Oryctolagus cuniculus: one gene and its partners. The protein of the gene in region 1 interacts with the protein of each later gene in a biochemical or structural test. Links are inferred from orthologs where the notes say so. Each region holds a gene or a part of one and is shown in the gene's direction. Other genes may lie near its edges. The genes, in order: MAPK3, DUSP1 and MBP.

The links.
Region 2: of the proteins of MAPK3 (region 1) and DUSP1, one has a biochemical effect on the other in vitro, tested with the Homo sapiens proteins (2 studies listed by BioGRID and IntAct). The link is inferred for Oryctolagus cuniculus from reciprocal best matches to the Homo sapiens genes MAPK3 and DUSP1.
Region 3: of the proteins of MAPK3 (region 1) and MBP, one has a biochemical effect on the other in vitro, tested with the Homo sapiens proteins (5 studies listed by BioGRID). The link is inferred for Oryctolagus cuniculus from reciprocal best matches to the Homo sapiens genes MAPK3 and MBP.

The regions. Positions count from the first base shown.
Region 1 is NC_091450.1:7,469,058-7,472,586, reverse strand, and holds the end of MAPK3 (mitogen-activated protein kinase 3), read left to right. Parts: intron 1-51; coding exon 52-241; intron 242-339; coding exon 340-456; intron 457-697; coding exon 698-812; intron 813-1,170; coding exon 1,171-1,302; intron 1,303-1,480; coding exon 1,481-1,590; intron 1,591-1,724; coding exon 1,725-1,847; 3' UTR 1,848-1,877; intron 1,878-2,444; 3' UTR 2,445-2,951; downstream 2,952-3,529. Other genes in the region: lysophospholipase D GDPD3, read left to right, coding at 3,360-3,529.
Region 2 is NC_091437.1:59,322,205-59,325,945, reverse strand, and holds the start of DUSP1 (dual specificity protein phosphatase 1), read left to right. Parts: upstream 1-1,196; 5' UTR 1,197-1,472; coding exon 1,473-1,839; intron 1,840-2,116; coding exon 2,117-2,262; intron 2,263-2,603; coding exon 2,604-2,823; intron 2,824-3,238; coding exon 3,239-3,609; 3' UTR 3,610-3,741. UniProt on the Homo sapiens protein: Dual specificity phosphatase that dephosphorylates MAP kinase MAPK1/ERK2 on both 'Thr-183' and 'Tyr-185', regulating its activity during the meiotic cell cycle.
Region 3 is NC_091441.1:2,201,654-2,205,394, forward strand, and holds the start of MBP (myelin basic protein), read left to right. Parts: upstream 1-955; 5' UTR 956-1,062; intron 1,063-3,741. UniProt on the Homo sapiens protein: The classic group of MBP isoforms (isoform 4-isoform 14) are with PLP the most abundant protein components of the myelin membrane in the CNS. They have a role in both its formation and stabilization.

The DNA.
Region 1 (3,529 bases):
TGCCCCCTGCCCCCTGCCTGGGGGAGGGGCGGGGTCTCGGGCCGTTCCCAGCTACATCGTGCAGGACCTCATGGAGACAGACCTGTACAAGTTGCTCAAAAGCCAGCAACTAAGCAACGACCACATCTGCTACTTCCTCTACCAGATCCTGCGGGGTCTCAAGTACATCCACTCGGCCAACGTGCTCCACCGGGACCTGAAGCCCTCCAACCTGCTCATCAACACCACCTGCGACCTTAAGGTCCGCGGCTGGCCGCGGCGAAGCTGTGGGAGGAGTGGGAGTGCTCGGGCCTGCAGGGGCCCCGAGCCCTGCGTTCAGCAGCCTGGGTTTCATTGCAGATCTGTGATTTCGGCCTGGCCCGCATTGCAGACCCTGAACATGACCACACCGGCTTCCTGACGGAGTACGTGGCCACGCGCTGGTACCGGGCCCCAGAGATCATGCTCAACTCCAAGGTAGGCAAGCCTGGCAGCCCGGAAGGGAAAGCCTCAGGCCCCCAGGGCGGCCCTGGAGCCACCCTCCCTGAGCGAGGCTCTGGAAGTCCACCCTCTGCAACGTGGCCTCTGGAAGGAAGCTGAGCACCGGCTCTCCAGGCCTCTGCCCCGGATCTCGGTTGGAAGCGGTGGCTTGGCCCAGGCCGCAGGGCCCTGCCGAGGCTGGCTCGGGAGTGCAGCACTGTTTTCCTGTCATCCCCAGGGCTATACTAAGTCCATCGACATCTGGTCTGTGGGCTGCATCCTGGCCGAGATGCTCTCCAACCGGCCCATCTTCCCTGGCAAGCACTACCTGGACCAGCTCAACCACATTCTAGGTGAGGGGGCCTGACCCACCCGGGGGAGGCTCAGGCTCAGGCTCAGGGTCAGGGTCAGAGTCAGAGTCAGGGGTACCACCACTTGTGGAACTTCTCCAGCATCTCCCAGCATCTCCGTGAGCAGAGACAACTATCCCCATTTGGTGGATGGGAAAAGCAAGGCCGAGAGCCGTCACACCTAAAGAAGTGCTAGGGCCAGGATTTGAACCCAGGCTGCCTGGGTCCAGACCCCTTGTCCTTCTCACTGTGAGGCAGGTGGCTGGGCTGGGGGTGCTTGTCTGGGCTTCTTTGCCTCTGTATCCCAGGACGGAGGAGGAAGGCGAGGTCTCACCAAGTCGCCTGCCTTCCTTCTGCCCAGGCATCCTGGGCTCGCCGTCCCAGGAGGACCTGAACTGCATCATCAACATGAAGGCCCGGAACTACCTGCAGTCCCTGCCTGCCAAGACCAAGGTGGCCTGGGCCAAGCTGTTTCCCAAGTCAGACTCCAAAGGTGAGTGAGACGCCACGCCCAGGGAGGATAAACCTTGAGTGGGGACGGGGGCTCACGATCCGGGCACCTGCCTGTGTGGACGGGGCCCTGGGTGCCGAAAAGCAAAGGGAGCCTCCCCTTCCGGGAGCCCCTCCCCCCTCCGCCTTCTCCGTGAGCCCTGACTCCCGCCCTCTGCCAGCCCTGGACCTGCTGGATCGGATGTTGACCTTCAACCCCAACAAGCGCATCACTGTGGAGGAGGCCCTGGCTCACCCCTACCTGGAACAGTACTATGACCCGACGGACGAGGTGCCGTGGCGGCGGCGGCAGCGGTGGTGGGGTGGTGGTGGGGGGCCGTCTGGGGGTGTGGGCGTCTCCGGGGCCTGGGGGCGTGGGCGTTTCCGGGGCCTGGCCCGAGAGCCCTCCTGTCTCTGCCTGTGTAGCCGGTGGCCGAGGAGCCCTTCACCTTCGACATGGAGTTGGATGATCTACCCAAGGAGCGGCTGAAGGAGCTCATCTTCCAGGAGACGGCCCGCTTCCAGCCGGGGGCTCCGGAGGGGCCCTAGCCTGCGCGGCAGCCCTGTCCCCGGGGCCTGGTGAGTGGCCCTCTCACCCCACACCGACTGCGAGCCAGCCCTGGCGTCCCTGATCCACCTGTACGGTGGTGACAAAAGGTGCCCAGACTCATGACCCACCCAGGCCCTTAAGTCCCCACCTGTCTACACTGCACCCACAGCGGCCCCTGGGGCCCCGTCCCCGCTGTGGGCAGCTGACCCACACTTCTGCTCGCCCACATGGACAGGTGGGGCCCCGCAGCAGGTGGCCCAAGCCAGGTGCCTCCTCACCACTCAGGGCAGCCGTTCCCACACCCGGGGGCCTCGGCGGGCCCACCCAGACCCACGCCGACCCACGCCGCAGAGCTGCCATTGTGCAAGCCGCCTCGCCCATGCACTTCCACTTCCTGGAGGCTGCTGTGCTCTCCAAGCCAGGGCCGATCCAGCCCTCCACGCCCTCCGCGGGTTCATTCACCTGTAGCTTCACCCTGGGAGAGGACCCTGTCCTCACTCCGCTGGTGGAGGGGCCAGGGAGACCCGACGTGGGCTGGGGGGCCGTGAGGCCCCGTGGGGTCTCACAGCTCCTCCCCCGTCTGCCTTTTCCCTTAGGGCCTGCCTGCTGCCTGCCCCTCTACGCTCGGACTGTTAGAAAACGGACACTGTGCCCGGCTGGGGCGGAGTGTGGGCCTGGCCCCATCTCGCTCCTGCTTCAGACAGGCCAAGAGCCCCCTCCCCCCTGCTCCTGCCAGGGCCTGAGGGCCTCGGGCGACCCCACAGTAGATCTCCCCCCAGCTCTGCCTCCATCTACCCTGGCTATCCCAGGCTGGTCCTTCTGGACCTCCGGAGGGGCGGGGCGGGGCGGGGACACTGAGCAGGGACTCAGGGCAAACCCTGCCCCCTCCCCCTTACCCCCCCCATCTCCCTGGGGGAACATTCCTGAGTCTCAAGGGCTAGTATCCCTGAGGAGAGGGCCCCCCACCCCGGCCTCAGCCCCTCCCCCCAAAGCTGCCACATTAACGTCCTCGCTGCTTCTGTGTGTGGGTGAGCGGGAGTGGGGGCGCCCCCGCCCGCCCCCGTGCCTGTATCTAATATATAAATATAGAGATGTGTATATGATGACCGTGACCGTGTTTCTGTTCGCCCCTGCCTTGGCCCAGCCAGGGCTGCTTGGGACCGACCCCCCTCCAGCCCAGCAGACTCCTGGCCCAGCCCTGGTGACCTTTGGCCCCAGGCTGGCCAGGGTTGAAAACTGGGGGGGGGGGGGGCAGTGTTCCAGACTGCTGGAAAGGGGAGAGTGTCAGTTTTCCCTTTAGTCACCAACCTCTTCCCTGTAATGACTTCCTGTGGAACTGGCTGGGGGTGACTCAGGGGTACGCTATACACCCCCAGCTTCTCTGGAAATGGCCAGGGAGCGAGCGTGTTATACACCTTGGCCACAAGCACCCATGGAGCCTGCGGGGAGGGGGCGTTACTCCTCCCAGGCAGCCCAGGACAGAGGGGTGTCGGGGTCCAGGGAGCGTCTGGATGTGTTCAGAGTCAGGGCTGCTGCCTGGCTGCCTCCTGTCTGTCCCCCAGCCCCAGCTGAGCCCTGCAGCCTGGCCCAGGGCCAGCAGCAGGCTCAGCAAGTCCCAGGGGCGTGGCGCGGGGCTCAGCCAGCCTACGCTGGTTCGCTGGTTCACCTCGGCAGGCAGCAG
Region 2 (3,741 bases), on another chromosome or scaffold:
ACACACGTTTCTAGAAGCATCTGAGCACAAAGTCTCTGCATGGCACTTGGCACAAGCTACGCTAGGCAAAGGGAGAAGCTGTCTCTGGTGTTAGAACCCACAGAGGGACGACGCAGGCTGGCAGCGAACACCCCTCCCCCCAGGAGAGCAGAGGGGAAACCGCAGAATGTTCCCGATTCTGCACTCGGCCGGTGGCGCAAGGTTTGTTTGTGGACCCGACATGCCGCTGTCGCCGCGAAGGCGGCTCTCCTGCCCAGGGGGTGGTCAGCAGGGCTCGGGGCGCGCGTCTTGCAGCCGCTCTCCCCGCGCGTGGCTGGGTTGTGAGCTGGGGAGCGCTGGGCAGACGCTACGAGGGCGCGCAATGGGGCTGGGGTGCGCAAAGCCGGGGCCCAGGGGCCTCGGCCTCGAGCCAAGGTAACACGCGCGCGCGCGCACCAGCGACCCCAGTGGAGCCGCCCGGCCCGTCCCCAGGCGCCGACCCGCGCGCCCCCCGCCCCGGGCTTGCCGCCCCGCGCTCTGCCTTCCTCTGCTCCAACCTCGTAGGGACTACATGACTAGAGGAGCTATTTGTCCCGCGGCGGAGATGGGGGGTGGGGTGGCTCACTGGACGCCATTGTTCTTGCTCAACGTATACAAAGTTTTTCTTTCTTTCTCACTCCGGCCTCTCTCCTGGTGGGGACGCCATTTCCAGGGACAGAGTTGTTCATTCTCCGCCCGCCCTCCCCGGTCCACATCGTGAGCTCCTCTCCGCCGCCCCCCACCCTCCACGCTGGCCGTCGGGACCCCGGCAGCCCGGCCCGTTAGCGAGGACACGAGGCGAGCGGCCGAGAGGACCCAGCGGCGGCGCCGAGCGCCGAGAGGCCGAGGCAGGTGGCGGAGGTCAGCCTTCGGCTGGCAGCGCGCCCCTGTCCTCCCGCGGGGCGCGTACAGCCGAGCCGAGCCGAGCCGGCTGGGTCTCTGGGGACGAGCCAGGAGCAGGCCGGGGCTGGGGCGCGAGCCAGCTCGCGGGGAGCGCACCCCGCTCCGAGGCCGATGACGTCTTTGCCTCTGGCTCTGGTGGCGCCGGGCCGGGCCGGGTGGGTGACGTCACCACCCGGTCACGTGGCCGCCATTCAAACAAACAAACCCCCCTTCCCCCTCCCAGCGCGCGCCAGCCCCGCCCCGCCCCGCCCCCGGAGAGGCCCATATAACTGCACTCCCCGGGGCCGAGCTCGTCGAGAAGGACGACTGGATTGTAGGAGAGGCGCTGCGGTCGCCGGAGCAGGGACGGTCCCGGGAGCGGCTGGAGAAAGCCCGGGTGGCTGCAGTCCCGTGTGACGCCCTTCGCTCGGCCCAAAGGCAGTGTCTTGTTCCGCGCCCAGAGAGTCGGGGTCGGACTTTTCCTCGAAAGCCGTCGCCGCTCTGCTCTTGGCGTCCGGGGACAGACAAAGGACTCCGGAGCGACGTGCACGCTGGGGGCTCTGAGGCCGGCCATGGTCATGGAGGTGGGCATCCTGGACGCCGGAGGCCTGCGGACGCTGCTGCGGGAGCGCGCGGCGCAGTGCCTGGTGCTGGATTGCCGCTCCTTCTTCGCTTTCAACGCTGGCCACATCGCCGGCTCGGTCAACGTGCGCTTCAGCACCATCGTGCGGCGCCGGGCCAAGGGCGCCATGGGGCTGGAGCACATCGTGCCCAACGCCGAGCTGCGCGGCCGCCTGCTGGCCGGCGCCTACCACGCCGTGGTGCTGCTGGACGAGCGCAGTGTCGCCCTGGACGGCGCCAAGCGCGACGGCACCCTGGCCCTGGCGGCGGGCGCGCTGTGCCGGGAGGCGCGCGCCGCGCACGTCTTCTTCCTCAAAGGTACGACCTCGGGGCAGCGCTGCCTTGCCGGGGGCCCCTTGGCCCTTGGCTCTCTAGTGGGGGCGGGGACCGGCGCCCGAGTCCTACCTGGAGCGCATGGGCGCGGCGTTGTGGCTCTGGGGACTTGTCACACCGGCTTTGTCTGGTCCTGGGAACAAAGACTTGCTTGGGCCTTAGCGATATGAACTTGGAGCGCCTGGTGGGGTGGGGGCTTTGTGGGAAGGGACCTTGGCTCAACGATGCTGATGGAAGCAAACCTTCCTCTCTCTGTTGCCAGGAGGTTATGAGGCGTTTTCGGCGTCCTGCCCAGAACTGTGCAGCAAACAGTCGACCCCCATGGGGCTCAGCCTTCCCCTGACCACCAGTATCCCGGACAGCGCGGAATCCGGATGCAGCTCCTGCAGCACCCCGCTCTACGATCAGGTCAGTGGGGCCCCGTGCCAGAGGGGAGGAGTCGGGGCCAGCAAGGCTTGGAAGAGGGTGCCCGTGAGAACGTGGAAAGTGACCTGCAGCTTTATTTATAAAGGGGACTTGGGGACACTCAATGGCTCTGCGTGTCTGATGCATGGCACTACAGAAATGAACTGGCTGGTGCTGCCAGGGGCACATGGGCTTAGACCCCTGTTTGTTTATACTCCAGCAGCAGCAGCAGGGGTACTGAGAAGTTCACCACTGACTTTTCCACTGGGGAGTTTTTGTGGGTGTGGGTGCTGGTGGTGCCCTGGAGCCGGCCTGAGCAGTGTTTGGGTCTTTCTGCCTCACAGGGTGGCCCGGTGGAGATCTTGCCCTTCCTATACCTGGGCAGTGCCTATCACGCTTCCCGCAAGGACATGCTGGATGCCCTGGGCATCACGGCCTTGATCAACGTCTCAGCCAACTGTCCCAACCACTTTGAGGGTCACTATCAGTACAAGAGCATCCCTGTGGAGGACAACCACAAGGCAGACATCAGCTCCTGGTTCAGCGAGGCCATCGACTTCATAGGTGAGTGGGACGGACGCCCGGCACTGCTGATGCCTCCCCGTTTCAACCTGTCTGGCAGAGGACTTGGGTGCTGCTCTTGTGAGCCATCCACCAGACATGAACTGTCCATCTCGGGTGGACATCATCCTTGCAGAATGAGGACTTGATGTCCCACCCTGCGCATGAGCAAACCGAGGCTTGGCAAGTGGACTTGCCCAGAATCAACCTGCTAAGTGGAGACACCCCATCTGGGTTTAGTCCCTTGCTGCCCCTTTGCACGGTGCCCTCCATGATAGCATAAGTCCATGGGCTAGCGTAAGGTGATGTTGGCCGCCTGGGTAGGACACGTGTGACATTGTTCTTTGACGCTTTTTGCCTGGACTTGGGGTCCCTCTCCCGAGCTCTCTAGTAAGCAGCCGCACTTCTTGTTTTCCAGACTCCATCAGAAATGCCGGAGGAAGGGTGTTCGTCCACTGCCAGGCGGGCATCTCCCGGTCCGCCACCATCTGCCTCGCTTACCTCATGAGGACTAACCGCGTGAAGCTGGACGAGGCCTTTGAGTTCGTGAAGCAGAGACGGAGCATCATCTCCCCCAACTTCAGCTTCATGGGCCAGCTGCTGCAGTTTGAATCGCAGGTGCTGGCCCCGCACTGCTCGGCGGAGGCCAGCAGCCCCGCCATGGCTGTGCTGGACCGCGGCACCGCCACCACCACTGTCTTCAACTTCCCCGTCTCCATTCCCGTACACCCCACGAACAGTGCCCTGAGCTACCTTCAGAGCCCCATCACCACCTCCCCCAGCTGCTGAGAGGCCGGGGCGGGGCTAGGAGCGCCACCTCCACCTCCACGCGCGCCCGGGACTCCAGGCTTCCTCCTTGGTGGAGAAAGGCAATGACTCCCGGGAGGGGGCTCACGAGCGCACACCGGGCCTTATTTATGT
Region 3 (3,741 bases), on another chromosome or scaffold:
GGAGGGGTCTCACACTGTGAGGTGGGAGGGGTCTCACACTGTGGGGTGGGAGGGGTCTCACCCTGTGGGGTGGGAGGGGTCTCGCCCTGTGAGGTGGGAGGGGTCTCGCCCTGTGAGGTGGGAGGGGTCTCACCCTGTGGGGTGGGAGGGGTCTCACTGTGAGGTGGGCAGGGTCTCACACTGGAGTGAGGGGTCTCACACTGTGGTGTGGGAGGGGCTTCACCTTGTGTGAGGTGGGAGGGGTCTCACACTGGGGAGAGGGGTCTCACCCTGGGGGGAAGTGAGGGGTGGTCTTGGAGTTGTCATGGGAAGGCTACTCTTCGGACATTGGCGCTGGGCCACCGTCTAGGACCCGCCTCAGAGCGGTGGGCTGGGAGTCCCCTGTCCCAGCGCTGGCTGCTGGCCCAGGAACCAGAGGGGACCCCGGGCGCGGTCCACGTAGCACTGCGCGGGTCCCCGCCTCCTCCTCGTGGGGGCGGATGCCACTGCCCGCGCATTCAGTCCAGCAAGGACGCTCGGCCTGGTTCCTGTCCCCTGGGAGCGAGCTCGGGACCCGGGGAAACCCCGCGGGGCCGCACCGCGCCCGGGTGTCCCGGTGAGCAACGTCCACGGGGCGGCCGCCTGCGGGTCACGAGGGGGAGCGCGCGCTGGGTGCCGTGGCCCCGGCCCGCACCTGCGCTTCCCGTGCGGGAGCCCGCACCAGCCCGCCGAGTCCTGCCCCGCGCCTGGGGCAGGCGGGGCGCGCGCCGCGCGGGTCGGGCTCGGGCCCCGCGGGCGAGCGCGGCGAGTTCCGGGCGCGCGGGGCGGGCCCGGCGGCGCGGCAGCCGCTGTTTACCTGGCGCGCAGGAAGCCCGCGGGGCGCGCGGGCGGGGCGGGGACGCGGGGTGCGCGCCCGCGCCTCGGAGCCGCCGCCGCCAGCGAGCACGAGCCTGCGGCCCGGCCGCCCGCGTCCTCGGCCCCGGGACCCCGCGCCGCCCGCGCCCGCAGCCGCCGGAGTCGAGCGGGGAGAACGGCCTGGGGCCCCAGGGCGGCCCTCGGCCCCGGAGCGCGAGCGCACGGCAGGTGGGTGACCCTCGCGGGAGCGCGACCCCGGAACGGGCCCCCCGCCGGCCCGGGAGCGCGCAGGGGGCCGAGCAGGTGGCATGGCCGGGCGGCCTGTGGGACCCGACTTCGGGTCCCCAGCCCCGTGGCCACTGCGTGCGGGTGTAGACGCCCGTCTACGGCGGCGAGCGCTGCCACCCGACGGGTTTCCAAGCGTGGACCTCGGCCGGCCTGGTGGCCCCGGCGTGGCAGAACCGGGTGCGGGTGGAGGTGGGGAGGAGGCCCGGGGTGCGAGGTGAGCGCGGCGGCGGGCTGGTGGCCGGGGGTCCGGGGGTCCAGGCTGGCTCGCGGGCCTTCCTCGCGCCCCTCCCCCAGGGCAGGTGCAGTTTCCCTCTGAGCCCCGAGGGCGGCGCCGGGAGGCCGGTCCGGCTTACGCCTTCACGCGGCCCACCTGCCTGCCCCGGCCGCCCCCTCGCGCCTCGGCTTTGGGGGCCCCGGGTGGACCCGCTTCGGCGCCCTGTTGGGGAAGCTGGGGGTTGGGGGAGCCGGGAGCTACGCTGGGGCCCCTGGTAAGGCGCTGGCGGGAGGCGGCGTCTTTGGGGCCCTGGTTGTGCCGCCGGTGGGGCCGCCCGCGCTGGGCCTGGCGGTGCCGGGAGCGCAGGTGCTCCGGGTGCCTGGGGAACAGAGCTCATTAGAGTCGAAGGCTCGCCTTTTGCCACCTGCGTTTCTTGGAGCCTGGGTGCCCCCGGCCCAGGGAGGGTCCCCAGGTCGGGAGGCAGCTGAGCTGGCATCTCTGCCCTCCCAGGCGGGGCCTAGGCCACAGGGGCAGGGGGGACACTGACCCCCAGGACTTCCCTGCTCGGTTTGGACCACTTGTTATCCGCTGGCCGGGCAGCCCTGGGTGCAGGGTGTTTTTAAAGTCCCTGTCTGCCTCAGGCCGCCTGCTGGCTTTGCCTGGGTGTTCCCCCTGTGGTCAGTGACACGGTGCAGGTGTCAGGGAGCGCTGAAGACCGGAAACCAGGCCTCTCACGAGGTTCCTGCTCCCCTCTGAGTTGGGCTTCCTTGCTGTGACTGCCCGCTGTCTGCGTGGGCCATCCTCTCCTTGGCCTCCTGGGTTGTCTAGAGAGAGAACAGAGTATTTGGATGGCTCCCGCGTGGTGTTAAGTGAATCGTCTGTGTGCGATTGGACACTCGGGGTGTTCCGTTCAGCCCCCCTAAAGGAAGCCCCGGCAGAGAGCTCGCTGCTTGTTGGCCTCTGAGCGGTGGGGCACGCTCCTGCCGCAGGCAGGCCTCACCCAGACGAGCTGACCAGAGGGACAGGCGCGTTCCTGACCGGCTGCGAGGAATGAGCTTGCGCACTGCAGGCCTCAGGGCAGGACAGCGCAGGCAGGGTCTCCCGCAAATGGCAACCCGCGTAACTGCGTGTGTGTTTGGAACCACTGGGACTGCGTGGTCATTAAAATGTGGCTGTGGGAGCAGGCGTGTACCCAGTGGTGAAGGTGCCCGAGTCCCACGGTCGGTTCTTTCCTGGCCCGGCCCTGACTCCAGGTGTGTGCTGGTGTACACCCCGGGAGGCAGCCATCATGGCCGGGTGATCGGGGCCCTGCCAGTTACGGGTTGAAACCCAGATTGCATTCCTGGCCCTGCAGCCTGGGCCCCTGTCTGTTGTGGGCATTTGAGGAGTGAGCCAGTGCATAGGCGCTCTCTCCCTGTGTCTGCCCAGCCGCTGCGTGTGTGTGTGTGTGTGTGTGTGTGTGGTCTCTGCCCCTCAAATACATAACCGTAGTTCTGAGTGTTAATTTATCCTGGACTCGGTGAGGGGCTGTGAGACGCTATTATGATAAGCAGGAGACTGCAAACTGAGAATAAGCAGAGCTGTGTGATGTTCGCATCTGGAAGACACGAAGTGCTGTAACCGTCGGTGACCGTAAGCACACTGCTGTGGAGTGAAATCTGGGCCTGCACAAGCTGCACTGCGTGGACGGTGAAGGCCAGGTGGACGGACGAGACCCACGGAGGACCTCAGCGCTGATAACCAGGGGCGGAAAACCGGAGCGGCAGTTAGAACACGTCCACGCTCTCCTCCTGCGCCAGTTTTAAATCCTGACTCGGCTAAGCAGCGAGGAAGCGGGGTGACTCTCAGTGTGTCCATAGGAATCCCCACGGCAGGGGCCGTCCACCCAGCCGGACACAGCGGCCCCCTGGGACCCACGGGGTTCGCTCCAGGCACGTCCGTCCTCGCGGGAGCCTCGGGCAGGGCCAGAGCAGGACGCGTGCTCGCCAGTTTGTGATCATTGTAGATGCACAGGCACGTGTAACGAACCCCGGAGATGCCACGTGCCACTCCACTAGTTCCCCGAGTGCCACCATCTTGGAAAACTCGGTTCCGGCTGGCAGGCAGGAGGCCAGCGTTGATGCAGGCCCTTCTCCTCGTGCAGATGTCAGCAGTGTGTGTGTGAGTGTCCTCCTTGCTGTGTCACTGTCACCCACGGCGAGCCGTGTGACAGCCAGTCTGCAGGGCGGCTTCCTCCCAGGACGCCTGCTGGGTCCCTTGATGGAGTCAGCGCCCTGCACTGCCCCGCCCTGAACTCTGGAAACCACCGTCTCTTCCTCCTCTTCTGTAGCTTCGTCACTTCAAGGGCGCGCTCTGCTCACGCTGGGTGGCTCTCTTCCTCACTGAGCCCAGCTCCCTTGATGCCC